Tamandua tetradactyla: one gene and its partners. Each later gene encodes a partner of the first gene's protein in a complex. Links are inferred from orthologs where the notes say so. Each region holds a gene or a part of one and is shown in the gene's direction. Other genes may lie near its edges.

Evidence for each region.
Region 2: STX4 (region 1) and STX5 share a complex: the UniProt entries of both Homo sapiens proteins name them as parts of the SNARE complex. The link is inferred for Tamandua tetradactyla from reciprocal best matches to the Homo sapiens genes STX4 and STX5.
Region 3: STX4 (region 1) and BNIP1 share a complex: the UniProt entries of both Homo sapiens proteins name them as parts of the SNARE complex. The link is inferred for Tamandua tetradactyla from reciprocal best matches to the Homo sapiens genes STX4 and BNIP1.
Region 4: STX4 (region 1) and STX18 share a complex: the UniProt entries of both Homo sapiens proteins name them as parts of the SNARE complex. The link is inferred for Tamandua tetradactyla from reciprocal best matches to the Homo sapiens genes STX4 and STX18.

Annotation. Positions count from the first base shown.
Region 1 is NC_135349.1:23,489,947-23,497,753, reverse strand, and holds the start of STX4 (syntaxin-4), read left to right. Parts: upstream 1-4,788; 5' UTR 4,789-5,152; coding exon 5,153-5,182; intron 5,183-5,378; coding exon 5,379-5,480; intron 5,481-5,604; coding exon 5,605-5,704; intron 5,705-5,840; coding exon 5,841-5,915; intron 5,916-6,412; coding exon 6,413-6,480; intron 6,481-7,807. UniProt on the Homo sapiens protein: Plasma membrane t-SNARE that mediates docking of transport vesicles. Necessary for the translocation of SLC2A4 from intracellular vesicles to the plasma membrane.
Region 2 is NC_135335.1:11,753,736-11,760,676, forward strand, and holds the start of STX5 (syntaxin-5), read left to right. Parts: upstream 1-3,930; 5' UTR 3,931-4,080; intron 4,081-4,336; exon of another isoform or gene 4,337-4,460; intron 4,461-4,795; 5' UTR 4,796-4,817; coding exon 4,818-5,042; intron 5,043-6,034; coding exon 6,035-6,105; intron 6,106-6,268; coding exon 6,269-6,324; intron 6,325-6,439; coding exon 6,440-6,510; intron 6,511-6,941. Other genes in the region: WDR74 (WD repeat-containing protein 74), read left to right, coding at 107-208, 1,644-1,744, 1,831-1,886, 2,218-2,363, 2,506-2,562, 2,816-2,995; TEX54 (testis-expressed protein 54), read left to right, coding at 3,209-3,287, 3,411-3,625. UniProt on the Homo sapiens protein: Mediates endoplasmic reticulum to Golgi transport.
Region 3 is NC_135346.1:54,589,643-54,597,466, forward strand, and holds the start of BNIP1 (vesicle transport protein SEC20), read left to right. Parts: upstream 1-4,815; 5' UTR 4,816-4,860; coding exon 4,861-4,944; exon of another isoform or gene 4,945-5,286; intron 5,287-7,824. UniProt on the Homo sapiens protein: As part of a SNARE complex may be involved in endoplasmic reticulum membranes fusion and be required for the maintenance of endoplasmic reticulum organization. Also plays a role in apoptosis.
Region 4 is NC_135345.1:8,488,830-8,495,923, forward strand, and holds the start of STX18 (syntaxin-18), read left to right. Parts: upstream 1-4,076; 5' UTR 4,077-4,161; coding exon 4,162-4,329; intron 4,330-7,094. UniProt on the Homo sapiens protein: Syntaxin that may be involved in targeting and fusion of Golgi-derived retrograde transport vesicles with the ER.

The DNA of each region.
Region 1 (7,807 bases):
CCTTCTCTCCAGGCCTCTGGGTTCCAACAACTTTTCTGGGGTGATTCTTTTCTGCATCTCCAAAGGCGTGGGCTGAGCTACGAGTGCTGAGATGAGGTATGCCGAGCTGCTTGGGCTGTGCTACGTTGAGTTCTCTCATTTAAGCACCAGCCAATTAAATCAAACATCATTCATTATAGCAGGCATGCCTCCTAGCCGACTGCAGATGTAATGAGCAACAGATGAGGTCCACGTACCATTGGCTCATGTTCACAGCAATAAAACTAGGCACGTTCACCTGGCCAAATTGACAACTGAATCTAACTACCACACCATCTCATAGAGTTGTCTTGGGGATGAACTGAATTAGCAGTTATAAAGCACTTATACTGGTGCCTGGAACACAGTAAGCACTATGTAAATATAAAATTAAAAGGATTAAAACTTAAGAAGAAATTTTTAATTAAAAAGAAATAAAAATAAAAAATAAGTAACTCCATTCATTCGTGGACATTTATTGTGCCAGGCACTATTGCAAGTCCTGGGGACACAGCAGTGAGTAAGGCAGGTGAAAATTTTACATTCTAGGCATTTTATTTGGGAGGCCAGTGAAGACAGACAATATACAAAATGAAAAACAAAATATATGACTAATAAAATACAAGTAGGGGGTGGGTCATGGTGGCTCAGCAGGCAGAGTTCTCACCTGCCATACTGGAGACCCGGGTTTGATTCCCGGAGCCTGCCCATGTCAAAAAATAATAATAATAATAAAAATAAAATAATAAATAATACAGTTAGTTCCAAACTGAGGAATGAGAGCTGTGCAGGAGCTGGTAAGGCTGTTCGCCTACGACCTGCTGCAGAGTAGGGCTCAGAAGATGGAAAAGGGAATGAAGACACTGGATAAGCAGCAGCGTAGAATCCCTGGTGGAGACACTGGAGCTGATAAAATGTTTGGAGTAATGATCATTTTCATCACCGTGACATAATAGCAGCAAACATTATACAGCACTCATTTTGTAGAAGGCACTGTTTTAACCACTTCATATATATGATCTCATTTAGCCCTTACAACAACCATATGATGCAAGTACTATTGCTATTTTCATTTTCTCAAACATTTTTTATTGTGAAATCTAACATACATTCAAAAAAGCAATAAATTCCAAAGTACGTTGTAACAAGTAGGTATAGAATAGATTTCAGAGTTTGGTACAGGTTACAGTTCCACAATTTCAGGTTTTTCCTTCTAACTATTCTAAGACACTGGAGATTAAAAGAATTATCAATATAATGATTCTACAGTCACACTCATTTGTTAAATCCTATCTTCTCTGTTACAACTCCTCCTTCTCCTTTGAACCTTCTCTCAATCTTTAGGGGTATTTGGGCTATGTCCATTCTAACTTTTTCATGTTGGGAAGGGGTGTCGACATTATGGGACAGGAGGATGAACTAGGTGATGTTCTTGGAGACGCCCTGGGTTTCAGGAGTTATCTGGCCTAGGAACCATCTGGAGGTTGTAGGTTTCTAGATAGTAATCTTAGTGCATGCAACTTTTGTATAATCTCAGATAGAGCCCTAGGTCTTCTTTAGGGTTAACAGGAATGGTTTTGGTTGGGGCTTGGAAAACTGTGGTAATTACCAATATCTAGCTGAAGCCTGCATACAGAATATACAGAACATACAGAATAGCCTCTCAACTCTATTGAACACTGTTAGGCACTGATACCTTATTTTGTTACATTTGTCTTCCCCCTTTTGGTCAGGAAGATGTTGAGTCTAAGGTGCAGGGCCAGTCTCATCCCTGGGAGTCATGTACCACGTTGACAGGGAGACTTTCACCCCTGAATGTCATGTCCCATGTAAGGGGAAACTAATGGTTTTCCTTGCAGAGTTGGGCTTAGAGAGAGGCCACATCTGAGCAACAAAAGAGGTTTTCTTTCCTGGAAGCAACTCTTAGGCATAACTATAGGTAGGTTTAGCTTCTCTGCTACAGAAATAAGCTTCATAAGAGCAAGCCTCAAGATCAAGGGCTTGGCCTATTGATTTGGGAGTCCCTAATGTTTGAGACGGTATCAGGGGTTTCCCTAGTGCTAAAGTTTAATAGTTCCATATCTTTTCTCCAGTCCCTCAAGGGACTTTGCAAATACTTTTTAATTATCTGCTCAGCATACTCTGGGATGAATCTGGGTATTACATTAAGCTATACACAATTACAAATCCTCATTCCCATTCTGGGCTCCATGTGTTTGGGTGTACTACACATAGAGAGGTTAAGTAATTTGCCTAGCAAGGTCACAGGGTTAGTAGGGATGGATCTGTGATTTGAACCCAGGTCATCTGGCTCCAGTGTCTGGAGGGCTGGACCTGTGAGTAGAGGGAACGGGACTGGCTACTCAGCCTCAGGACAAGGTAGGGCCAACTCCAACACCTACAGGCACCAAACCCAATATATTTAACACACACCCAGCTTTAAGGCTGCTCAGTGGGCCTGGAAGAGTGACAAAGAGGCATAAAATAAACATCAGTGTTCAGTTCTGGAGGGCCCAACCCCCAAAGCATTAGGGACATAAATGGCAGGCTCCCCACATGGCCTCTGCTCCCCTGCCCCCTCCACACATGAGCCCATGTGGCCTTAAGCCCAGCCTCCTGTGACCTTAGGTCACCATTTCACCCAGAGACCAAAGGAAATTATGAATCTCATAATCCTGAGAAGTTTAACAGAGGCACCAACAACTCCAGATTGCATTTGGAGACTGAGAAAGTCATCAAGAGACTGAGATACAGAGAGGTGGAAAATGGGACTGGTGGGACGGGAGAGAGCTGGAATCCACAGCAGTAGAAGCCCAGAGAGGAGGGCAGTCCTTCACAGTTCACAAGACCCTTTTTCATTCTTCCTAACCCCTCACTTGATATTTCCCAGTTCTTACCCTAGGCAAGGCAGAAATTAACAGACCAAATTGTCAAATGGGGAAACTGAGTCCCAGAGAGGAACAATGAATTCTTTAGGGTCACACACAGGATTAGAAGTCAGCTGCCCACAAGCCTTTCCATTGAACCACTCAGAGACAGAGTATGAGAGAGAGAAATAAAGAGACTGGAGTGGGGTATGTGGGGGTGTAGACAGGTACAGGGAGGCAAGAGGCAAGTGGCAGTTAACTGAAGCAGGAAATTACCTACAAGACCCAAGAGCAGAGAAATTCTCTGTGATCTCCAGGCCCTCCAATCCTCATTACCCCTGTGGATGGATGAGGACTATCATACTCACTCCCTCACTCCCAATCCCAGGCTGGGTTTTAGAGGTTAGAGAACGATCAAAGCCCTATACATAGAATCAGACAGCTTTCGAAGTTTCCAAGTTCATAATCAGCAAACTTTAGAGATATCCCCCTTTTGCTAACCCATTGAACAGATGGGAGATCAAGACCCAGAGATAAAAAGTGACTTGCCAGAAGCCGGAAGTCACTCAATGACAGAAATACAGGTCTCTTGACCAGAGCATAGAAGACAGAGGCCATCCCTTCCTTGCTTCAGGCTTCAAATAATAGTTCCCTGGGAAGAGCCCTGGGATCCAGGAGTCCTGAGATCTGCTCCTGGCCGTGCTGAAATTCACTGATTGGCTTTGGGCACTCCTCTCATAGAATATAAGCTCCTTGATTGCATGGATTTTTGTCTGCTACGTCCTTGATGTATTCCTAGAACAATGCCTGGCACATAGTATGTGCTCAATAAATATTTGTTGCACAAATCAATGTCTAGAGGTCCAGGGCCAGGGAAGTGCTACTGTGAGAGAGTCTGAAACCCAAAGGAAGAGACCAGGGAACCATAAGCTATATCATCTTCAGACATGTGAAAGGCTAAAATCCTATCAACAAATATTTACACAGGGTTCATTATGTGTGTAATTACTAAACTAGGCGCTGGGGATTCAGTTAAGAAAAGGCAGTCATACTTCAACCTAGAAAGTTCATAGCCTACAGTAAGGTCCGAAGCGGGCAGTTTTCGGTGATCCCAGGGGGTAGAACCAAGCATGAGGTGGGCATGGGGTGTAAGGGGCAGGGAAGTAGAGGGCTCAAGGTAACGCGATGCTTTTCTTAGCCTGAGCTGCCCCTAAATGGCCTCGCTGCTCAGAAGGTGGTGAGTGCAGTGGGACTGCGGTGTTCAAGCAGGGCGTCCGGCCACCCACCTGTCAGAGACTGTGCCAGGAGTCTGCGGAAGGAGAGAGTTCTGCCTTGGGTGAGGTCACTTCCCACCCCCAGTACCTCTGCCAAGAAAACCCTGCAATTCTCTGACGTTGAAAACTGGGAGTTTATTATTCTCTGATTTTCAAAGTCCCATGATGCTGACAGCCCCCAATTCGAAGTTGGCAGTCTCTGCCCAAACCGCTGGACCCCGCCCCCCCGAAAAACAAAAACGGACTGAACAAGAGTCCTACTACCCACTGCTTCCAAAGGGTTCTGGGGATAGTCAGCGCCTCTTCCCAATCGCACACGCAGCCTTAGCTTGTAGGGGCTGTGGGAGCGTAGTCCGGACGCTGGGGTCCCAGGGGCGTCGTGGGGTGAAGGGTGTCCCAGGGACCGCATTCAGAGAACCGGGACACGTGACACCTGGAGCATCACGTTCCGCGGTCCACGGTGCTGGGACCGGGCCGGTCACGTGACGAGGAGGGCACTATGGGGTGATGTGAGACACGGGACCGCTCAGATTACGTACAAATGACGCATTTCCACCCATTTTGGCAACTGAATTTCCAATGGAAGCTGGTTCGGGTAAAGGAGGCGGGCTCTCACCTAGCGCAGTTTCGCTTCCGTTCAGGGCACTACAGCTTCCGACCTCCGCCCTTTCCCTCCGGCGAGGAAGAGACGCATCCTCGTGCGCATGCTCCGAATCCTTGCTCAGGGGGTGGGGCCGAGGCTATGGGAGTGGAGGGGGCGGGGAAGAGGAGGGAATTCCAACCTGTGGAGTCTTCCAGGGGGTCCCCGCGGCCGGCTCCTTCCCATTGGCTGTGGACGTTGCAAGGGGTGGGGCCTCTGGCGGCTAGTGGGGCTTTTGGGGTCCTCTTAGTGAAACAGGGGAGTGTCAGGGTGCGAGAGGGACACGGGAGTTCCAGACTCAGAACTTGAGGCCCACGGGGCTCAAGCGCCGGGCAAAGGGAGCTCGGGCCGCCATGCGGGACAGGACCCACGAGCTCAGGCAGGTGAGGAGTCGGGGGAGCAGGCTTGGGGGCGGGAGGACGGGGTGGGATCTGGCCGGAACGCAGGACTTCTGGACCTCAGGACAGGAGGTGGGAAGGGGTTGGCTGATGGCCTGGCAGGAAACACCCGGAAGGCCGTGGGTCCCGCGGGGCAAAAGCGACAGAAAGGAAGTGGTGCTAATGACCCTGGCCCTGGCAGGGGGATGACAGCTCGGACGATGAGGACAAGTTGCGGATCGCGCTGGTGGTGCACCCGGGCACGGCCCGGCTGGGAAGTCCGGACGAAGAATTCTTCCAGAAGGTAAGCTGGGGCCTCGGCGTGTATTTCACGAGGGGGCAAGGCTGGGGTTGGGGCGGGGCTGACGAGCAGCGTGCAGTCTGGAGTACCCCATGTCTCCTTCAGCCCTCTCTGTCTCCCTCCTTAGGTCCGCACAATTCGGCAGACTATTGTCAAACTGGAGAACAAAGTGCGGGAGTTGGAGAAGCAGCAGGTCACCATCCTGGCCACGCCCCTTCCCGAAAAGAGTGAGTGACAACTCCAGTGCAGAGCGCTTGCTCAACTTGTGGGATTGTGGGGGTTGTAGTTCCACGCAGGTGGTGGCCAGAGTGGTTTGTTGTGGTATAGACTGCTGTTGGGGTTCATGGTCTTCTCTTTGTTCAGGTATGAAGCAGGACCTGCAGAACCTGCGGGATGAAATCAAAGAGCTGGGGAGGGACATCCAGATACAGCTGAAGGGTGAGCTTCTAGGACCTCAGATCCTTTTCTCTGGCCCTGTGGTGTACAGGAGAGTGATGGCCCAGAGCTGCTGGTGATATATTCACTTTATACACAGGCCTGAGTCTAGAAGTTCAGTTTACTGGCTTCAAGTCCCATGCGTTTTCCACAGCCCATGGCTGCCCTGGGATTTTCTTATTTGCAATGAAACTACTTACTCCTACAATTCTTTCTGTCCATTGTGCATTCTTTGAACAAGCAGGTAGGGGTTTTGTTAGGGGGGCCTCTGCATACCTGTGGGAATTCATGGATGCGTGGCAAAGAAAAATACACTTTCTCCTGTCAGAGGCCCAAAATTAGTCATTTTGTGCTAAATTATATTTCCCTAACAAAATCTATGTAGATCACTAATTTTGTAACTGGAATATGGCCCTGGCCTTGTGTTCTGGTCCCCAAACAATCTTCAGAAGTCACAAGTCAATCCCTCTTTCCCCCCATATTCCTGTGTCTTCCCACAGCCATAGAGCCCCAGGAGGAAGCTGATGACAACTATAACTCAGTCAACATGAGGATGAGAAAAACCCAGGTGGGTTTGTTGTTCCCAGAACCAGGCTATTTTACCAAGTGTTTCAATAGATTATTAGGTGGCAGAAGTGAGAAGGAAGGGCCATTAGAGATTGAATCCCATCTGATGATTTTTCTATTGGGGAAACTAAGGTTAAGAGAGAGAAAGGATTCACCCAAGGTTAAGAGCCCAGGACTCCTGATGCTTGAAATATTTTAACACCCTGTCTTCTTCTCCTCCATTCAGTGAGGCTCAGCTGTGGCAGATGTACTTTCCAGGAGCTCAGATGGGGAGTTAAGGGTTGAATAGGTAACAAAGATGTTACTGGGGTAGAACTTGGTGGCTAAAGACACTGCCCAAGGTAAAAGGTCATCTCTGGGAGGTTTCCAGTCCATGTGACAGGGAAAATCCATGGGCAAAATTCAGGAAGTCAGAAAGAGGAACTTTCATGCTGGGGAAGGTCACTGAATGTCTTAGTAAGGGGCTCTGAAGGGATCTGACCAGAGTCCCTTTGCAGTCCCAGCGAGGACTGCTTTGGGGTTGCTAGAAGTCAGGATTGAAGTAGGTGGGCCCAGAACTCAGCAAAAAGACCAAATTGAAGATGGACAAATTTGAGCATCTTGAAAGAGGGTGGCTAAATCCAAGAGAGTAGATGTGCCCCTGAGGAAGGAACTCACAATATGTAAGGATTCAGGGAAAGGGACAAGGCAGGGCAAAGCAGCCTTGCAGAAGCCCAGAGTGGGCTTTTTAGGAGGAGCAAAGACTCTTGGTCATTGTGTGAGATGACTAAGGTCCTAGGTGGGCCTGTTAAAATCTTGGCATCAGGCTTACTGACTGGCCTCTAAGCTGTCATGTTCAGCAGACATTCAACAAATACATTCGATTCTCATTATTTTTGGTACTTACGTTGTATAAAGTCTCAGTGTATACTGAAGTAGGGAATATTTAATTTAGTGAATACATTGCCCTGAGGGGAAATTTGGGATTAGGTTCCTGTGAGGCTTCAGTCACTCACTTTTCCTCAATCAATACATGACCTTGTTTTAGATGTGCTTCTTTTTTTCTTTTTAGCTTTTTTATTGTATAGTATAACATATATACAAAGCAATGAAATAAAAAAAGCAATAGTTTTCAAAGCACTCTTCAGCAGGTAGTTACAGGACAGATCCCAGAGTTTGTTATGGGCTACCATATGATCCTCTCAGATTTTTCCTTCTAGCTGCTCCAGGATATAGGCGGCTAGAAGGCTTAAATATTTTTTTTATCATCACAATCGACTTTTTCTCCTTTTTTTTTTTTGTGAAAAATAACATATATACAAAAAAGCAGTAAGTTTCAAAGCACAGCA
Region 2 (6,941 bases), on another chromosome or scaffold:
CCTTGAGTGAGAGATCAGATGGGCTTTAGGGGTAATGAAGGAGGGCTGAATGTGGGGGCCACACTTGGCCCTCACAGCCCCACCCCCCATAAACTCCTCCTACCAGGTGCGAAACGATTGGCTTGATCTTCGTGTTCCCATCTGGGACCAGGACATACTGTTCCTTCCTGGGTCGCAGAAGCTTGCCACCTGTACAGGGTACCACCAGGTGAGGCACCACCCCACCCATTCTCCTGGGCCTAAGTAGCTTCCTGGAGAAATGGCTTAGCTATACAGGCTCAGTCCCCCCGGTTTGGCACGGGAGCATCTCCCTTAAACTTTCCAGCCCTACTACTGAACAAGTGACCTTCCCTTATTGCATTCTGATGTGGAATTTTCTGAACTAGGGCTCTTCCTTCCCTCCTGCTTGGAAGAGTGGAGAGCTGAAAGGAATGTTCCCTTCATACTTGGATCCGCAGGGTGCAGGTGTCATGAGAGGATCTTGGGCTGGGTGCCAATGGAACTGAGTTTCAGTCCTGATGCTGCCTCTGATTTGCTTTGGGAGTCAAGCCTGACCCTTGCCTCTAGCCCTAGGTCCCCACTTGTACAGAAAGGGCTGTACTAGGAAACTTTATGACTCGTCTCATTTGAAGTCCTGCTTTTTTGCCTTGTCTCCTTCATTCCCACACATTGAAGTCAGATCTTTGCGGTGATATGCTCTGCTCAAAACACGTATGAAGGATGCACAGGTGGTTGAGTGGTACAATGCTTGCCTGCCATGTGGGAGACCTGGGTTCGATTCCCGGCCCATGCACCCAAGAACAAAACAACAAAAACACACACGAAGCTTTCATCTCTCTTTCCTTACTCAAGCTAAACTTCTCTGCCTGAAATTCAAGACTTGTGACAATTGAACCATCTGATCCACCCCCACCCCCCCACATACATACACACTCTCTCAATTAGGGGATGCGTGGCAGAATACTCACACTTGCAGACCATTGGAATGCTGCTATACACACACACACCCACCACAACCTGGGAGACCTGTCCCCTCAACCTTGTCCATGCACATTCCTAAGCAAACCCACCCCCGCTCCTCCTACACTCGGATTTCCTGTTTGATGGGCAGACTAAGGGAATACAGACTGTGAGAATGTTCCCAGGATGCCCCCTGCCCATCCACTGGGGAGTTTCTGGACTTAGTCCTATCTTCTGTGTTCTTGTACCCCTCCCCCATTACCCTTCTGGCTGCTCTGATCACATCTAGTTCTGCCCTCCCTGTAGATGTTCTGAGAGCATGAGGCCAGGATACCTGGTGACTTTGGACAAGTCACCGCCCTGTCTGTGAGGAGCTCGAACTAGAAGAGCCTAGGTCCTTTCTGGAATATGGGAGGGCAGAGACTGCATCACCATGTTTCCAGCACTGCCTAGCAGAGTGCTGGTCTGAGAACAGGTTAGGAACATATGTGTACCTTTGAGAGCCTCAGTTTGCTCAGTCTCATCTTCACAGGTTTGTCTGGCCATCACATGGGGAAGTTGTTCTGAGAGTGTGTCATAAACATGAAGGCAGTGCTTAAAGGGGGGCTGGGGTGAGGATGTGGAGAGGGCTGATGGTTGTGCAGGGTGAAGGTTTCATGAGTGATGCTGCAGTCTTCCTCCAGATCCGTGTCTATGATCCAGCCTGCCCTCAGCGGCGGCCAGTCCTGGAGGCCACCTATGGAGAATATCCGCTGACAGCGATGACCCTTACTCCTGGGAACAAGTGAGTGAGTGTGAGAGAAGAGATGGGTGGCTCAGGAAGGACTGCAGGCAGTTCCTGCTGACACCACCTGTCTCTGGTCTCCTCAGCTCAGTGATTGTGGGAAATACTCATGGGCAGCTGGCGGAAATTGACCTTCGGCAAGGTGAGTCAACCAGGGGGTCCTTGGGAAAGGGGGTTAGCATGGGGAAGAAGGGCACGATTCCCGCTGAAGCAGTGAAGTGGAGTAGTTGTGAGCCCTCGTTCAGGTGCCAGATTGCCTGGGTTCAAACCCTGGTTTCACCAAAAGCTGAAAGACCCCAAGCAGAATGTTTCAGTGCTGCACCTTTGTTTCCTGCCCATGGAGACATGAATGGTAACTCTCATCTCAGCATTATGTTGAGGATGTAATGTTGACATGTAAAGTGACGAGAGCATTCAACACCCACCAAGTGGTGTTGACCCGCCAGCAAGCACTGATGCTTCCCCTCTTCCAGGGCGCCTGCTGGGCTGTCTGAAAGGACTGGCAGGCAGTGTCCGAGGCTTGCAGTGCCACCCTTCAAAGCCCCTCCTAGCCTCCTGTAGCCTGGACCGAGTCTTGAGGGTACACAGAATCCAGAACCCACGGGGCCTAGAACATAAGGTGAGAGCCATCCCACTGGACCTCATCCCCTACACACATACCCACCCTGCCTGACCCTGGAGCCCCCAACTTCCTATGCTTTCCATTCCTGTGTCCAGCACTTCAGCATGTTAGGTTCTTTAAGGTCTCTCATCTTTTGCAGGTTTATCTCAAGTCTCGGCTGAACTGCCTCCTCCTTTCAGGCAGGGACAACTGGGAGGTGAGCAGCTGGGTCAGGGAATGTGGGATTCAAGGGCTTCGATGTGAGGTTTTCTCCATGGAGAGATAAAGGTGGCAGCTGGATTGCAGACCGCCAAGTTAAAAGTTAGATAGTCCTGACACGGTTATTACTAAAGGTGCCATTCCTAAGAGCAGGGATGGGAATGACATCCTAGAGCAGGAAAGAAAGCTGGGATTATTTCCCAGCTAGGACCTCCTTGTGGGTCTCTGTAAGCTTTCCCCCCATTCACCAGGATGAGCCCCAAGAGCCTCAAGAGTCCAACAAGGTGGCCCCAGAAGACCTAGAGACAGATGAACTTTGGGCTTCCTTGGAAGCCGCTGCTAAGCGGAAGCTCCCGGATGTGGGGCAGAGCCAAGGGGCCCCCCAAACCAGACGGAGAAAGAAGAAGCGGCCTGGGTCTACCAGCCCCTGAAGATGGGGTACCCATTTTGTAAATAAACACCTCAATCCCCACCATGACCTGGAGCCTTTTGTGATGGGGGAAATGAGGGGATGAATGGCTTGGGCTGGGGACTCCTGGAGCCGGGGCGGCAGGACCGCTGACGTCACAAAAGCCGGGCAAGGGCCAAAGACCTGCGGGTGGGCGGGTTGGGGGGGTGGTACGGAGTGCCGGCCACGCGGGGCCATGGGCTGCTGCCAAGACAAGGACTTTCAGACTTCCAGTGATCAGGCCAGGAACGGCGACTCCATGGAAGGCGGGACAGGTGGGCCCGGAGACGCAGGAAGGGAGCCCGGGGAGCGGGGCAGGGGGCAGCCGCCTTGGGATCACTAAGGGAGTGGGACCGGTGAGGGCAGAGCGCAGCTCAGAGGCATCGTCGTCTCCACAGGCTTCGAAGGGAGCGATACGGACTCCCCGCGCCACCGGAAGCGCAAGTCGAACGAAAGCCTTCTGATCACCGTGCTGTGGCGGCGGCTGTCCCTGTTCAGCCGTCGGGGCTCGGCACGGTCGAATAAGAGGCAGTCAGTCCTCAGTCAAAGGCACGAGATTCCGAACCTGGGGATCAACCAGGAGGTGATCCAGGAGGAGCCGGAGAAGGGGTAACCCCATTCCTACTCTCAATCCGTCCCATCCTCCAGAGAATAAAATTTCGAACGTGGACCTTCGCGAGCGTTTGTGCCTCTGCTGCGGGCTCTGGGAACACCGCGCGGGCACCAGCCGGGCTGCGGGTTCTTTAAGGCTCTTCCCCGGAGGCTAGCCCAGCCCCCCCCCCCCCCGGGGGCTCCGGCACCCGCGCCTCAGGGGCGGGGTCACGGTGTCGGCCTGGCCAATCGGAAGGCGACGGCGCACGGGCGCTTGGTTGGGGGGCGTGCCTCCCAGGTCGCCCAGCCCCCAAAAGGCGTGGCGCCGCGTTCTCGTCACCGGGGGCGGGGTTACGCGCGGGTGACGTGGCGGCTTCTAGCTCCGGTCGGGTTTCGGCGGCTTCGGCCCCCACGGAGGTGGCGGTGACGGCCTGGGAGATTGTGGCAGTGGCGGCGGCGGCAGGCGGCAGAAAGGAGGTAGGATTTCTCTCTAAGAGAGGATCTGGCTGCCGGGGCAGCTCCGGGTCCGAGGGCGGCGACGGGCGGGGGCGGGGGGAGGGGAACCCGGGGGCCGAGAACCCGGGGGCCAGCGGCTAGGTCCTGCCGACCCGGCTGGGGCTGAGCGAATACCTGGTGGTCCAATCAGAAAAGCACCTATCGAGACAGACGTCGGCATTAGCAAATCAGTGGTTGCAGCCTTCCAGAAGGCGGAACCCAGCGAGGGGTGGGTGGGACTTCCTGTTTCAAATAAACACCTAGAGGTTTTCCCCCTTCGTCCACCGAAGTGTGTCCCCTTCTGAGGGCTGGTCGCCGTTTTTCTGTGAGGAGTCAAGGAGCCTAGGACAGGAGAGGTCCCGGTTAGGGCCTGGCACACCTCTGCGGGCTGGGCTGGAGCCTCAGAGCCTGGGGACCTGCCTCTTGGCCCTGTCTCTGTCTCTGCTTCAGGGCCCCCAGCCCCACGCTCTGGTCGCCAGAGTCGAGTTGAAAGAGTCTGAGGAGGGGACAGCTTGGGCCGGGTGGGAAGTGGGGCCCTTGCCTCTGCGAGCCGGCCCCAGGATCTACGAGTGGCCTTGTGGTTTAAAATGCTTGCCAGGTTCAGAAGGAGCCGGAGGATTTGTTGGTTGGGGGTGGGGGGTGGGGGTCATTTATGGAAGAGGTGGCTCCCTGGAGAATGACTCCTTTCCCTCCACAGCAGTCCGAGGTTATGCGTCTCAATGATCCCCCGGAAACGCTACGGGTCTAAGAACACGGATCAGGGTGTCTACCTGGGTCTCTCAAAGACACAGATCTTGTCTCCTGCAACTGCTGGAAGTAGCAGCAGCGACATCACCCCTCTGCCCCCCCCAGTGGCCCTGATCCCTCCCCTTTCTGACACCATGTCCTGCCGGGACCGGACCCAGGAGTTCTTGTCTGCCTGCAAGTCCCTTCAAAGCCATCAGGTAAGAACCTGGAGTGGAAAAGATCAGGGGTAAGCCTTATTTCTGAATGGGGCTGTGCTCCAACACTATTAACTAAAGTCATTCTTGTGGGAAGCTGATGGACAGCTCCTAATAAGGCTTGGATGGAACAGTAGGGTCTGCTAAGAAACAGAGGTTAGCAGGCGGGGGCTTAGACTTTTTTGAGAAGAACCTCCCTGATGATAGGGTTGCTATTATGGGGGGAATACCTCAGGGCCAGAGGTGCCTGCAATATACTTGGTTTGGCCAAAGAACAGATTCTAGACGGAACTTTTAGCTAGCAGTCATATACCTTGAACTCAAGTTCTGGCCTAGTTCTGCCACAGTTTTCCTTTGTGACTATGGGAAAGTTAATTAATCTAGTTGGGCCTCAATTTTTCTAAAATTGAGTGTCTAAAATTGAGTGTCTAAAATGAGGGAAGCTTTCTTAATCACTTTAGAGTGCTTGAAAAAACATTGTCTCAGTCCGGCTCTGAATCTCGGTGGGACTTGGGTGACCATTTTTAAATATTTTCTGTGTCCAGCTCTGGCTAACAACTGCTCTCCTATGTGATTTCCAGGGGCTTTCTAGTTGTGATACTCTTTGAGTCCCTGATTTGAGGAATAGAATGGCAATACTTGCTACCATTTACTTAGTACCTTACAGTGAGTGAGTTACATATTTGACTTAAGAGCTTTACAGCACTTTCTGTAGCAGCAAAAGAAGGTAGAAGGATTGTCTTCGCTACATAAAAGAGAAAGTAGAAACTCAGAATGTTAAAGTAACATGACCAAAGTCCTTCATCTAGTAAGTACTAGAACCCCAGTCTATGTGTCTTCAAATCGGGGTTCTGTACTACTGCTGATAAATCTGGATTGGCCAGCCGGGGACCTGAGCTCTACTAAGAGAGTTTAGTGGACAACCTGAGGAACACTGAAAGCTGGAAGTGGGGGAAGGGGAGCTAAGGTTGTCACCTCCTGACATTGCTTTTCAGAATGGAATCCAGACAAATAAACCGGCTCTGCGTGCTGTCCGGCAGCGAAGTGAATTCACACTCATGGCCAAGTGAGTTGAGAAACCATCTGCTGGGGTGATGTGTCTGAGGAAAAGTGGGTTTGTCTTTGGTGGCCTTGTCTGTGAGGGTTGGGGTTAGTTGCGCTGGAGCTAATATGGAGTTAGGCCCTCTCCTACCCATTTCCGCAGTGTTTTCACTAATGCTTGTTTGTAGGCGCATTGGGAAAGATCTCAGCAACACATTTGCCAAGCTGGAGAAGCTGACAATCTGTGAGTGTTTTTCTTGGGGTCTTTCCAAGGTGGGGCAGTGAACCAAAGAGGGCTCAGGAACTTTACTCCCTGAGCCCTGTCTTTGACCTGTTGTTCCTTCTCATTGTCTCTGCAGTGGCAAAGCGCAAGTCTCTCTTTGATGATAAAGCAGTGGAAATCGAGGAGCTAACATATATCATCAAACAGGTGAACTTCTATCCATCAGGAGAGCCCAGCAATCCAGTTAAACCACTTTCATCATTATCCATTGCATAGAAGCTCAGAGTACATTTCTAGAGCTACCTCCACGCGTCTACTGACACTGTAGACACTTATTGATTACCTGTTATGTATGAAGCACTGTGCGGGACTGTTGACACAACATGAGGCAGGACTCCTGCTGTCAAGGGCTTATTGTCTCGAAGAAGTTACCAGCCCCGTAAATATACTATGAGTATATTTATGAGTAGGAGGCAAGTGGTACAGAAAAGATCTTACGAAAAGTTGAATACTACAGCTGGGAAAGATTTCAGAAAGGAAATGAAATGTGAGTAGTTTTCAAGTCTTGTAAGAAAAATGGAAGGACAATCCAGTCAGAGGAAGCAGCATGTGCAGAGGTATAGATTGAAAAGGGAAAG
Region 3 (7,824 bases), on another chromosome or scaffold:
TGTCTCTTGTCTAGAAAGAATTTTATCTTGTTGACGCATGAGCTGTTTAAAAATTATTCTATTAAATGTTGGTTAATAGTTGTGCAGTTTTTCTTTTCAGAATAAAAGGCAATCCATATGTTGCCTTTGTTTTCTGTCACTTTCCAACCCCTAAGCACTTCTAGTCAGATACAGATTCATCAGTGTATGCAACATCCTTTGTAATTTAAAATAAAAAAAGACAAAAAGAAAAGGTTTTGAATTGTTTGCCTCATGTTTTCCCCTGTCCTTTCTCTCTTGCTTTTCTGTTTCTTACCAAGGTAAGCATCACTGCTCTTCAAGATAACTCATTGCAAAGAAATACAAAAATAAAGAGAGCAACGCACTGTTGATCCTGCTGCCCCTTTCCTGGTAGGGTCCAAAGAGCTAACAATTTTTTGCCACCCCGGGCTGATTTTTAAATACTTTAGAGAAATTTAGCTATTATGTAAAATCATTTGTTGACATCAAACATTTGCATTCTTTATAGTTTAAAGCATGAGTTTATAGTTTATACTTATTTCTCTTTGAGGGTTTGGGCAAGTGATTTCTCTTGGAGGAAAATAAAATATTTTGGGTCTCCTGATTTAAACTTTTGTATGTGTTTGTTTAATAATTCAAAATAAGGCCCCGAGCTAGGCCAGGCATATGTATAAAGTCTTCCAGCAGGGAACCTGAGTGAATACCACTGTAGCAGTATGTAATCCTTCAGCTAACATTTGTTTAGCACTTACTGTGCCAGGATTTGTGCTGGGTACCTGAATACAGAGTTTATAGCGCCCTCCAGGAACTCTTTCTGCTGAAGGAGATGGCATGTGAACAGGACTGCAGAACAATACAAGAGCTGCCACACATATGCCAAGGGCTGTAGAATTACTGTAGCGGAGGTGTTTTCAAAGATACAGGTACTATATCCAGTTGCCAATCTTGTGTTCTTGATGTTCCTGGATCCCTGTAGAAGCCCTTTTGGCTTCATGTGCATGGGGGTCATCAGGAAGCAAAGTGGACGTGGCCTCCCATGGTCTGGTTCTACTTCAGGCCTCTCAGGGCCACTCACAGGATCCTCTGCTGTGGTCCTGGGAACTTTAAGGTTAGTATAGTGCCTAGAAATGGCACTTCAACGTGTACTGCCTTCCTAGATGGGTCATTCAGTTGTTTCTTTTCACTGCTAGTGATCTCAGAGCCATATGAACTCTTTAGTCTCAGCCCAGTTAAAAGGTTCCGAATAAGGGTGGTGCAGCGGTGGCTCAGTGGCAGAATTCTTGCCTGCCATGCTGGAGACCTGGTTTCAATTCCTGGTGCCTGCCTGTACAAAAGAAAAAAAAAGGTTCAGAATAGGAAGATGTTAGAAAACTCTGGGCTCTAGGGGTGACATTCTTTAAGACCCCCATAGCTGCTTGCCCATCAGAAGCCTCAGCTGCTACTGTCAACAGCCCAGTGAGGCAGGTAGTCACATCCATTTTAACCACAGGAATCAGATTAGACTTGGAGGAGGTCACTTGCCCCAGACCCAGCTAATATGATATAGAGCCCCAACTCAAACTCCAGTCTGAAATAACTCGTATCTAAAGCACTAGACTAAGTCACAGACGATATTTTAAAGTTAGGAGGATGAATCTGAAAACCAGAAGGAACTAAAGCCAAAGCCTAGCAAAAGTTTTAACTAAAGTCTCAGGAATGAGTGGATAAAGATGACAGTGGGGCAGGTGGGGGACGGGTGGGGGGGGAGAAAACATTGGGAGTAGTCAGTGATTGAGGGTGTTGGTCACAAGATGGCACACCTCTTCTGCAAAGATGGCCTTGAGAAGGAGGACTTAAAATTGAGTCTCTTTGTTAGGTGGGAGCTGTTTTCTTAATCTTTAGTTGCTGCCTAGAGATGCAATTTGGGAACTATTGCTGGCATTAGGAGTTTAGAGCAAAAAATATGATGTGAAAGGGGTCCAAGGTCATGTGGGGAGATCCTCACCTTGCAGGCTTTCAGGCTTCTCTGCTGTTTTAATAGGGAGCTTCCATTTGGGATCCAAAATATTGAAGTGGCCTGAAGAATGTTAACCTCAGTTTCCTCAAAAGGTTTGAATCTTAACATCACCAGGAATAAAGTTAGCAGAAAATGTACAAGGTCTCGATAAAGAAATATTTAAGATACTATAAAGGACTCAGAAGGAGACTTGAATAAATGGGACGATATGCCAAGTTCTTCAGCAGAAGCAGTCAGCATCATAAAGCTGTCAGTCCTCCTAAGTGAGATAAAAAATGTAGTGTCACCCCAATGACACATTCTAGTAGGGTCTGAAAAGCAAAACTAAAGTTCCTGTGGGGTGGGGAGAGGGGAGTAGCTGGAAGTTGCTGGGACAAAAAAAAAGTGAGGGGGATGTTTAGTCCTACCAGATATTTAAACATAAAAGTATAATTAAAACAGTGTAATGTTGGTGCATGAGAGAATAGATAGGAGAATAAAACAGAATGGAAAATTTAGAAATAGGCTCAAATATATATGAAAATTTAGTATAGTAAACGTGGCATTCAGAACCAGTGAGAAAAAGATGGATTCTTCAGTAAATAGTATGGGTCACATTTTCACATCTTTTTTTAAGCTCATAATTATGAAAGAAATATGTATATGGAGCTTGGGGAAATAAAAATAGACTTTTATTAGTATTGGTAATAAACCTTCATTATAAAAAAAATAGTATGGGAATAACTCGATAACATCAAGGAAAAGTAAAATTGGATCTGTATACTTCACAAAACAAGCCAATATATATTTCAAAATGGATTAAAAGCTAAATGTTAAAAGGAAAAAACGAAACCATAAAAACATTACAAAGAAATGTGGGAGGATTCCTTTAAACCTCCAGGGTTAGGGAAGGCCTTTCTAACTTGGACCCCAAATCCAGAAGCCATAAATGTAGATAAGTAAATTCCACTACGTAAAACAAAAACACTTTTTTACTTTTTTGTTTTAAAACCAGTTTATGGTTTTAAACCAGTTTATGGTCAAAGTAAAACCAGTTTATGGTCAAAAGCACTGTCAACCAAGTCAATATTCTGTAGACTAAGAAAAAAGCTTCGCAACATCTCTAAAGGATAGCCTCCTAATACATGAAGAGTTCCTGGAAATTAATATGAAAAAGGCCAAAAACCCAATAGAAAAGCAGACAAAAGATAAATAATAGCTTTTAAACATAGGGAAAAGGCCTCAACCTCAATCATTATAGGAGAAATGCAAATCAAAAGATGCATTTTTCACTTAATTCACATGTTGGTTAACACACCATGTGGGAAAACAGGCATTTCTACTAGCACTTCACTGGTAGGAGTGTAAATTGATACTACCCTGATGCAGAACAATTTGGTAGCATGTATCGGATTTTTAAAATGCATATGTTCTTTGACCTGGCAAGTTTTATTTGCTCTGTGGCTTTGGGCAACTTATTATGCATTTTTGTCCTTTACCTTATCTGTAAAATGTGTAAAGTCTATAAAAGCTCTACCTCATGGAGTTACAGTGAGGGTTACCAGGAGATGATACACATAAAGTACTTAGTACTCAGAGCCTGGCTGAGTAGAAAGTACTAGAAAAAAAAAGTCATCTAGTAATATAATAATAGGAGCTAACATGCTTGCATCTCTTATACCAGGCAAATGCAGTGGTGCTTTTTTTCATGTTATCTCAATCATCAAACCTACCCTGTGAAGTAATTGCTAGGGTTATCACCACTGAGGAAACTGAGGCACAGAGGAATGTGAGTGGGCAATGCCCAGGCCTACTTTACACTGCTTCCTTTAGGTGCAGTGAGGTGATGAAGGGCTCCCCTTAAGGGAGGGCTGTGCCCAGAGCTGAAGGAGCACGGTGGACCAGCACGAAGCCTGGTTTGCACAGCCCTACCCAAGCAGCCATATGTGATTTTGAGCAAAGCTGTGGCTTTTGGTGAAGACCCTGCCACTTTCAATTCGGGTAACCTTGCAGCAGGTTTCTAATCTACTCTTAGCCAATTCTAGGCATTCTAGGAAGAGGATACCATGTTCCAAGGCTTCAGGTCCAAAAAGAGCTTGAGGAATCCAGGAATGGGGGATAGGGTGATGGCCGTCAGCCTTGAGGGCTCGCTAAGAAACCTGGACTATTTAGTAATAATAAAAATAAAATGTGAGTGCCACTATTTGTTGAGGGCCTGCTCTTACAATATTTTGCTAAATCCATCAAAACTACTCCAGTGAGGTCGATTTAATAAATCCAATCGTACGCAAAAGGGAACGTCAGGAACCACAGAAGGGAAGTGCCTCGATCAGTTCTGCGTTTTAGAAAGACCCCTCGAGCTGTGGGTTGGAAAAACAAGAGGTACACGAATGAAGTGCCTTGAATTCCACACATTAATAAAAGAATAACGTTTATCATTTTCTTTTACGTACTCTACAATTTATACTCACTGTAGAACGTGTGAAAAGTACAAAAAAATTTTAAGAAATATAAGCAATTATTCGTTCCCCCCCCAGGCCATCCTAATTGATATTTTTCTTTCAGTTTTTTAGTTTTCCTAAGCCAGCAGTATGTAGTCCCTCTTCCCTTCCTCTCTATCTTATTTTGGTCATTGCAAGAGATGAGGCTGGTTTTCCCCAGATGTCGGGCGACGTCTTAGTTCCTGGGCGAACCGCTCAGGATTCTGCGCTGGACGTTCCCGCGCCCACCTCGGTTTCTCACCCCGCCCTTACCGTTCCGCGCGGAGTCCCCGGCTCGGCTCAAGCCGCTCTCTAGGGGGCGCTGCCGCAAGGGGAGGGAGAGAAGGCGGTGCCAAACGCGTTTATATTTGGCCACTATCAACGCCCGTAGCCCGCGTCCCGAACATGGCGGCTCCTCAAGATGTCCACGTCCGGATCTGTAATCAAGAGATTGTCAAATACGACCTGGAGGTGAAGGCGCTTATCCAGGTACTAATTCCCGGGAACCCTGCTGGGCTCCAGCCACCCAAGCTCCGCGGGCCTCCTGGGGGTTTGGCGGTCTCAGCCCTGAACTGTTAACACTTGGTCTAATCTCCGAGGCCTTTGGCCCCGCCCCGTGGTCGTCTACCCTCTTGTGGTCCAGTCCCCGTGACAGTTGGCCTTAATCTTGCATCCGGGTACCGCTGATTCGCCCTCTTTCCTGCCACCCCTAAGACTCCTTCTTCTGACGCAGTCACTTCTGTGTACCCTGCCTCAACATCCCTTTTGAAACCCCCGTTTGGTCCCTTCCACGTCTTCCCTGATAGTTGCCCCGCCCCTGAACACCTCACAACACACCTGTCACTCTGTTATTCCCTCTAGCTGCTAGGCCCCGCCTCCCGGTGCCCGCCTCCATCCTCCACTTCTTAGGGTCCGGGAGGCTATTAGCGCCGCCCCCTGCCGGCCTGCCTTGCTGGGTCTGGTGCCCCGTGATCCCGAAGCGCACTTGACAAGGGACATGCCGGATGAAATGAGTGTAGCCTGGACCCAAGATGTGATTTTTTTAAAGGAGGAAATTGAGTAAAGCGCTAAGGCCTGAATCAGAAGGCAGATAGTGTCAAAACTGGGATCCGGACAGGGAAAATCATCCTATGGAAGGATCTTGAGAGTCTCCTCCCCTCTATTTAGTAAATGGGGAAATTGAGGGATTTTGCCTTAAGCCAGAATCAGGGTTCTTTTTTTTAAATTTTTTAAAAACTTTTTTATTGTGTAATATAACATATATACAAAACAAAGAAAGAAAAAAGCAGTCGTTTTCAAAGCACTCTTCAACAAGTAGTTACAGGACAGATTCCAGAGTTTTTCATGAGCTACCATACGATCCTCTCATATTTTTCCTTCTAGCTGCTCCAGAATATAGGAGGCTACAGGGCTTAAGTTTTTTTAATCATCACAATTGACTTTTTTTCCCTCTGTTTTTTTTTGGTGAAAAATAATGTATGTAAAAAAAGCTATAGATTTCAAAGCACAGCTCCACAATTAGTTGTAGAACATATTTCAGAGTTTGACATGGGTTGCAATTCCACAATTTTAGGTTTTTACTTATAGCTAGCTGCTCTAAAATACTGGAGACTAAAAGAGACATCAATTTAATGATTCAGCATTCATATTCATTTGTTAAATCCTATTGTCTCTGTAAAACTCCACCATCACCATTGATCTTTCCATCCCTTTCTTTAGGGGTGGGTAGGACATGACAATTCTAAATTTTTCATATTGGAAGAGTCTGTCACTAATATGGGGTAGGGAGATGGAACTATCTGATGTTCTGGAGAGGCTGGGCTAGGTTTCAGTACTTATCTGGACCCATCTGGAGGCTGTAGGTTTCTGGAAAGTTACCCTAGTGCATGGAACCTTTGTAGAATTTTATATATTGCCCTAGGTGTTCTTTAGGATTGGTTGAAATGGTTTTGGTTAGGGTATGGCAAGTTATGATAGGTAGCAATGTCTAACTGAAGCTTGCGTAAGAGTGACCTTCAGAGTAGCCTCTTGACTCTATTTAAACTCTCCCAGCCACTGATAATTTATTAATTGCACTTCTTTTCCCCCTTTTGGTCAGGATGGAATTGTTGATCTCATGGTGCCAGGGCTGGACTCATCCCTGGAAGTCATCTCCCATGTCACCAGGGAGACTTTCATCCCTGAATGCCATGTCCCACGTAGGGGGAGGGCAATGATTTCACTTGCAGAGTTGGGCTTAGAGAGAGTGAGGCCACATCTAAGCAACAAAAGAGGTCCTCCAGAAGTACCTCTTAGCCATGCCTATAAGTAGTTGAAGCTTTTCTTCTACCTACATAAGCTTCACAAGAGTAAGCCTCAGGATCAAGGGCATGACCTATTGATTTGGGTGTCCCTAAAGTTTGACACAGTATCAGGGGATTCCATGATGGTAATGTTTAATAGTTCTATAGAATCAGGGCTCTTAAACTCCCATTTAAAAAGGCAGTGGTGCAATAAATCAGTCAACATAGGCAAGAGTTGGGAATGTGGGAATGGTTCCATAAGTTTAGCAAAAAAACCAAGGGTTTTTTTGTTTTTGTTTGTTTATTTGTTTGTTTGCATGGGCAGTCACCAGGAACCAAAACCAAGGGTTTTAAGCCTTAATTTTAAGCAAACCATTTTCCTTTGCAACAAATGTCATCGAATATTAGATGTAAGCTCTGAATTTGCAACGAGCTGTGACAAAAGTAATGGAAAATAGAGCTTCCCCAGTAGACCAGATACAGAATAAACCAAATTAGTGGTTTAACACGCGGTGCAAGGAAATGTGGTTTAATGACTAAACTAAGGAAAAAAGTGAGGAAACCATGCAGACGCTTGAACTTCGTAAATGTTACTTCTCCCATGTGTAAACTGCAAACTTCTGAGCAATCTTAGAAAAATAAATTTAGGGTTCATACAAATGAAATTACCTTTTGACATCATTCAATTGCTCTGTTTTATACTCTCTTAACATTTGGGTTCCTGTGGTAGCTAATGAGAAAGATTGATTATAGTTAGATGTATTACACTATTACAGTGTTCCTGTCACTCTACTAACTGCTTCACATATGTACATAATCTCTGAGGTCCTTAATGTAATGAGGAAGCTGACAAGTTCAACTCCTGGACCATGCATCCAAAAAAAAAGGGAAGATATCTGTAAATACTTTGATTCCTCATAGATAGTTTATAAAATCAAACTGAAGGAAGTTAATCTTTTCATGTGATGCCAGAAATTTGAGCATCATGGTTTTCAAGTTGGAAAAGTCTAAAATTGTTTTTTTTTTATTGACAAGTCTTCACACACATACAGTCCATACATGGTATACAATCAGTGGCTCACAATAT
Region 4 (7,094 bases), on another chromosome or scaffold:
GGTTTCTGTCATTTCTGCCTTCTCTGACTCTCTCCAAAATGTTTCCTCTTTTAAAGGATTCCAGTAAACTAATCAAGACCCACCTGGAATGGATGGAGTCATATATCTATCTAATCAAATGTCACCCCCACAACTGGGCGAGTCACAGCTCCATGGAGATAATCTAATCAAAAGCTTCTACACACAATATTGAATCAGGATTAAAAGAAATTTCTCTGGCAAGATTGGCTTTTCTACGGTACATAATAATTTCAAACCGGCACACAGCCCTTTAGAAAAACAACTGTGTGCAGCCTATAATGCCTTACTGCAAGTAGAAGGACTAACTCAGAAATACTCTGTGAAATTAAGAACAGCCATCCCCCATACAGGGGTGGATTCGGGACATTGCCTCTAAGCCTTACTCTGGCAGTACACAGTTAATCACATTGACAAAGGGGAAAGCTTCTCTGCAGCAGCACAGCATTTCAACAACAGCTTCACAAGTGTAAAATGCATGATATCCTGAGATCAGTTTCCTATGTGGAAGAACAACACTTACCCCTCCCTGCTGATCCTCCCGAGGTGGCTGTCTCTGTGCCCACTGTTGATGGATGTGGCAGTATACCTGAGTCTGCCTGGTATACGGACGGAGGAGCACACGTGCAGCCTGCCACCTGGATAGCAGTAGGCATGTGCTTTGGTTTGCTGAAGCTGCCAGAATGCAATCTACCAGAAATGGACTGGCTTCTACAAAAGAAATTTATCAGGTTATAAATTTACAGTTCTAAAGCTGTGAAAATGCCCCAATGGATTTATCAACAAAAGGATAACTTCACTCAAGAAAGGTTTTCAGCAACTGATACACCTCTGTCAGCTGCAAAGACACCTGACTGGTGTCTGCTAGTCCTTGCTCCCAGTTCATTGCTTTCTCTTTCTAAGCATCTGTGGGCCCTCTCTTAGCTTCTCTGGGGCAAACTCTGCATTTCACCCCTTAGCTTCAGTTGGCTCTCTCCAGGTTCTGGGTCCTCCAGGTTCTGTGGGACCTTGCATAGCATCTCCGGGGCAATTCTGTCACCAAGCATCTGCCATTTCTCTGCTCTCTGTATCAGTTCTGAGCTCTCTCTATGCTTTCTGCCTTTTATTCTCTTCATCGAAGACGCTAGTAAAAGGATTAAGACCCACCTTGAATTGGGTGGGTTATACCTCCATGGAAACAAGTCAATCAAAAGATCCTACCCCCAAGAGGTCAGCATGCCCAAGACTGGATTAGAAGAACATGGCTTTTCTGGGGCACATAACAGTTTCAAGCAAGCACACTGTGTAACCTAGTACAAACACACTATGGGGTGGGAAACTGGGACTATCATGCGCTGAATTAAGGGATGTATGGATGGTCATTTTCACGAACTTGGAGATGGGATAACTATTTGTGCTGACAATTGGGCCATGTACCGAGGTCTGACAATGTGGATGGCCATGTAGAAGCAAGAGAAATGGACTGTTGTTGGCCATCCCTTTGGGGAAAAGAAATGTGGCCAGATATCTGGACTATCACAAGTGAAAGGTAACTGTGTTTCATATCTTTGCCCATAACACTAATTCTTTACCTGGCAATATTGAATTAGGAAAAATTCATAGCCGAAGGCCAACACTGCATGAGGCTGCTGAATGGTTTCATAAAAAATAGAACACCCAGGGTACCAGACCCTGTGAAGCCTGGTACAGCAATTCCAGCTGCCCATCACCAGGCAACTGAAAGAAGTTGTGAACATCTGCTCCTCCTGTTTGCTGCGATGCTCAAGGATGCTTCCTCATCAACTCAGTCACACTGGCTGTGAGCAGATTCTGCTCACCGGGTGGCAGGTAGGTTATACTGGGCCCCTTCCCTTATCTGGATATATAAAATAAGCTTTTACAGCTGTAGATAACGCCACTGGACTGCTGCTGGCTTTTCCAGTAGATAAAGCTAAGCAAAGAGATACAATACATAGCTTAGAAAAGCCAAGTGCATTCTTTGGGGTCTCCACACATGTCGACACTGATGGAGGGACCCCCTTAACTGGACAACTAACCCAAAACTTGGCTACTTAACGTGACATCTTATGAATATTTCATTTGACTTACAATCCCACAGCAGTGGGATTGATTGAAAGAATGAATGGGATTTTTAAATATATATATTTATTGTATTCACTTGCATTCACTTAAGATAAAAATCCAAAGTTTCTGGCTTCTTTAGGCTATTGTAAATAATGTAGCTGTAAACATTGGTGTACAAGTACCTGTTCAAGTCTCTGCTTTCAATTCTTTGGGGGACTATTCCCAGAAAAGGGATTGCCAAGTCACATGGTAATGATGGGCTTTTAAAAGAGTGATTAAACGATAACAAACAATCTCTGCAACACTGGGCGTGTCAGTTGTATCCAGTCCTCCTCAGCCTTGATTCAGGACCCAGAGCAGCTGCCCTCGCCCCTGCTGAACTGGTAATGGTAGGGCCCGTGCAGATACTGCAAATTCAGGTACAAAAAAGACCAGCAACACTACAGATATAACAAGGTAATGAAAATAACTTGCTTTTGCTGCACTACAAGCATTAGAAACTGGGGAAAATAAGGTCAATTGGCCATGGTCCTGGATGATGTAGTCGCACTGGTTGGGAATCCTAAGCCCATGGGGTATTGGGGTCACCCAAAATTAATGAGTTAGGCCATAGTTTATACACAAAAGGCCAAAGCTGTATATGTAACCAACCCGAGACCCTTCATATCCCAAGGCACAGTATGTAGGACTCTGTTATCACGTAGTATGTTCAGGCTAATTGTGAATCTGACCACAGAAAGCTCCTGCAATCGCAAGGGGAAAAGATGTAGTATTTGTCTGCTAGTGGAAAGTTGGCTTATGTTCTTTTTGCCCTTAGCATCGCAGCAAATACCTTTCTGCAACAGGCTTCTGTGGTAACCTACATGCACGATAAATCTCAATGCTGAGTGTGTGCTGAACTGCCACTGCTGGGTGTTACCAGCTTGCCTTGGACTGTGACCCCTGGGAATGAACTGCATGGAATACCCTGCTGGCCTGACAGAATTCAGAACATTGGAAAATCTAGAAAAGAATCTTCTCACGAACGAATGAAATCACAGGTTTTTATCAGTTATTAGTAGAATAATGTAACTCCCTTTCTTGGCCTGACAGCATCAGTTTGTGGACCTCCTAATGTTCTGTAGCCTCTTACACTGTTTTTGTGGAATATGGATGCATACTACTTCAGGGGCAGTGGATTGTGGCAACCCAGGGGTCGGGACCTCCCCCTCCACTACGGAAACATGTAGCAGCCTGGGTGACATTTATTAAAACTCCCCTCCCTTAATCACTAGTGGTAATCAACCCTCCCAGGACTCTGCTGAAACTACTTGTAACGACTTCTCGCAAGAGTCTGCTGAACCTTAGAAGCCATCCTCTTGGCACTCCTCTTCCCTTTGCACAAAATGCTGACTTCCATTTCCCAACCATTGGGAGAAATTTTTCTCCTTTAAAACGCATAAATAATTTTCTGCCTGGCGTGGTCTTTGGTCTCGGGGTTGTGCTGGGCGAGGGCAAGCTGCAAGTAATATTTATTGGCCATTATAAGGGGCCAAGTAGCCCTACACAGTACACTATATCATTTAATTTTCACAATAATACTGAAGTTGGGGGCTGGCTTCATCTCACAGCTACGATAATGAAGGCTGGAGAAAAACGGCCTCTGGCCTCTATGTCCGAGCCTCAGCCACCAATCTGCCCTCCATGCTTCCAGAGGGTCAAAATCCACGTGCATTCCCGCATATTCCTCGAGGTCAAATGTCAAGGCCAGCTCCCCTTATGGTCCCTCCAGCGAGGCCCACATGGCCCGGCTCGCTCAATGCGGAAGCCACGAGAAGGGAGCAAGCCTTCCTGCTTCCTGGGGTACAGGGGACTCGGGGTCCCCGGCCCCCCTGGCGTTGCCAAGGCGGCCAGGGTTTGCCGGGAGGAGAAAGGGGCGTTTTCCAGCGCGCAGCCCGAGCCCGGAACCTTTCTCCCCGCGCCGCGGTTGCCGGGCGGAAGTGTGCGGGCCGGGAACTGCCCTCCGGCTGCCAGGCTCGCGTCGCGGTCGCCGGCTGCTGACGTGAGCGGGTCGGGTGGCGGCCACGGTTGTGGGTCGCCATGGCGGTGGACATCACGCTGCTGTTTCGGGCCAGCGTCAAGACCGTGAAGACGCGGAACAAGGCGCTGGGAGTGGCAGTGGGCGGCGGGGCTGATGGCAGCCGCGACGAGCTGTTCCGCCGGAGCTCCCGGGCCAAGGGCGACTTTGCCAGTCGGGCCCGCGAAGTGGTGAGCTGGTTGCTATGGAGACGGCGGGCGGACGAGGGAGGCGGACCCGCGACTTAGCGGTGAGACCCTGTCGGGTTAGCATTGTGCGGAGGAAACGCCTGAAAGATGTGGTCTCACCGCGGGGTGGGGGTGGGGGTGGGGGTGTCTCAACCGGAGAGTTGGGTATGAGTGCGGACAGCTGCCTTCAGAAAGGAGCAGCCTTATATGGGGGACTGGATGTAAGTATTGGGGAAGTCTAGGAAGCAGATTTCTCTTTGGAAGAAGAAGGCACTCGGCAACCTCTAAGTGCAATGTTTGCTTTGTGAAAAAATGAGTTCGCGGGCACGGCGGACAGTCCTTTGCTTCCCCGACGCAGCCCTGACTACACTGTATTTGCCTCTTTTTGCTTGTCTGGTTCCGCCTCCCTCGCATTGAGATCAAAGACCACGTTTCTTTCAGCTGAGTCCTCCCCTCCCCTTGCCTTCCCCAGTATTTCAGGAGCGTGGTAAAGCTAAGCACATCTCGAAACTGGTTTTGGATAATCTTTCACAAATATTCCATGTTCTAGTCGTCTAAACTACTTACTGTTACCTGAACACAGCAGCCTTTCGTTCATAAGAGCAGGGGCTTTCTCCTTTAGGGCAGAAACTGTTGGCTTCATCTCGGAATGGCCCATAGCATTGCTTACTAAATGTTGAATGAATGAATGAATGAATGAACAAATGGCTGCCTGTCTTTCTAACTAAACAGGAAACACCATAAGGAGAGAGAAAATCTTTGTTCACTTTTGTATCCTTGGCACCAAGGTTGGATCTAGTTTTTATTTATACAATTTTATCTGCCCTTTTTCAGAAATACAAATAAGAAATTACCAAAAAAAAAAAAAAAAAAGAAGAAGGAAAAAGTAGCCTAAGGGCTTTGGAAAGTGCATGTGGGAGTCCCTGAAACCTCAGGTTCATTAGCTTCCTGATAAGTCCACCTCTGCTTAGCACACAGTCCAATACTTAGCATTTTGTGAACACTTGATGTTTTTGAATGAATATATGTATTCATGAATTAAGACTGGCAGTTGCAGAGGACAGTTAGGCATCAGAAGAGAAAGTGGACCAGATGAGTACATCCAGACCAAAGCACTGGTTTGAGTGGCATGATGTAAAAGGAGTAGTAGAGGAGATAGGCATATAAACAAAAATAAGTGCCATAAAGCTTAGTAGATGTTGTGACAGAAGGCTAAGACACAAAGGAAGGTGGTCAGTTCTGCCTGAGGGCTGGGAAAGGCTTAAAAGAGGTGATGATGTCTGAAATCAATCTCGAAAGAGTAGTTGGCTGGTTCCAGGACAGACAGAGTAGGGAAAGGCCTCTCAGGTTGAGAGAACAGTATGCACAAAGTCACTGAGGTAGGTGCCAAACTAACATCAGCTGGTTTGATAAGCATTTGAGTGTGGCTGGAATGTGGGACCCCCAGGAAATTTGGCCTGGAATGACAGGTAGGGGCAGTTCTTGAAGGACCTTGTATATGACTGCTGAACTTGAACTTTACACGTAGGCAATCTGATCTTAGTGGAGAAGGAGCACTAGAGAAGGAGCCAAGGGACTTGGTTGTCCTCTTAACCCTGCAACTATTAGCCACTTAAGGCTTATTCAGCAACTATCACCACAATTTCTTTACCTGTAGGTCCCCTTCTTTTTTTTTTTTTCCCCTTAAACAGCAAGAGACTGAAAACCGCATTACCCTCTAGGTCTGACAGATCAAATGGGAGCTTCTCAGGTTGAGGTGAAAGGAAGGGAAACCAGGCTATTCTCCCTCTCCCTCCCCCGCAATCTTGCCCAGACACTTCCTGAGCTACCACTTGTGGAGCTGTGGTTTGAAGACCGCAGTTTTGGTTTTTGGAGGGCCCCTCTACCTCTGCAATCACCAGTGTATTAACATCATGCTGATCTGAGTTGAGTTGCTGCTCTTGTAGGGACAAGAAGCACAGGAGGGTCTGTGAGCATGATGAAGAGCCCTGTGGTCACTGAGGCCCCCTCAGGCCTCTTCCTGAGTAGTGAGAACTAGAGTTCAGTCTTTGAATTCATGGGCATGGTTAAGTAGTGACAGGTTTCTACTACTGGAGTTATTTAAACAGAGGGGTAGTTAGGGATGTTTGAGAAGAACTTTGCTTGTCAGAGAGACTACATTCCATTGATGTTTAATGATGAGGGTAGGTGTAAAGTTGTGGAGTTTCTGTCAAGTAGGGACATGAGCTGCGCTGTTCAGGGCCACTGCCTCTTCTGATATTGGGAAAACATGCATTCTTTGGAAGAATTTTTTTTTCTCATATTGCAGTTGTAAGAAACTGTTCTTGCGACTATTTCTTTCTCTTTCACTCTTCCTCCTTGCGGAAGAGTTCAGCTAGTATAGAGCTAGTGGGGGGATGATCAGGTGTGTCAGATGTTTGGTCGTTAATATTGTTTTGGATAGATTTCCTTTTACATGAAAGTCTGGTTAGTACTAGGAGTACAGGTTTAGAACTGGTTATCAGACCAGAGGAAATGTAGCAAATTATAGAAATGACTTTGGTTAAATGCCTTCTTTGAAGCATTTGCTATCATTTTTGTTTTGTTTTTGTTTCTTTTGTTGAAGCATTTCCTATCATTTTAAAGATACATTTTGCCTACTTTAATTCCAGGCCTTCTGTTCCTTGTTTTGAACAAAATGTATGCCTGATGTCATATTTCCATCTCACTGCATTGATGTAGAGGTTGTATTAAGCTTAATAAAATTTTGTTGAAACTAGTTTTTCTAT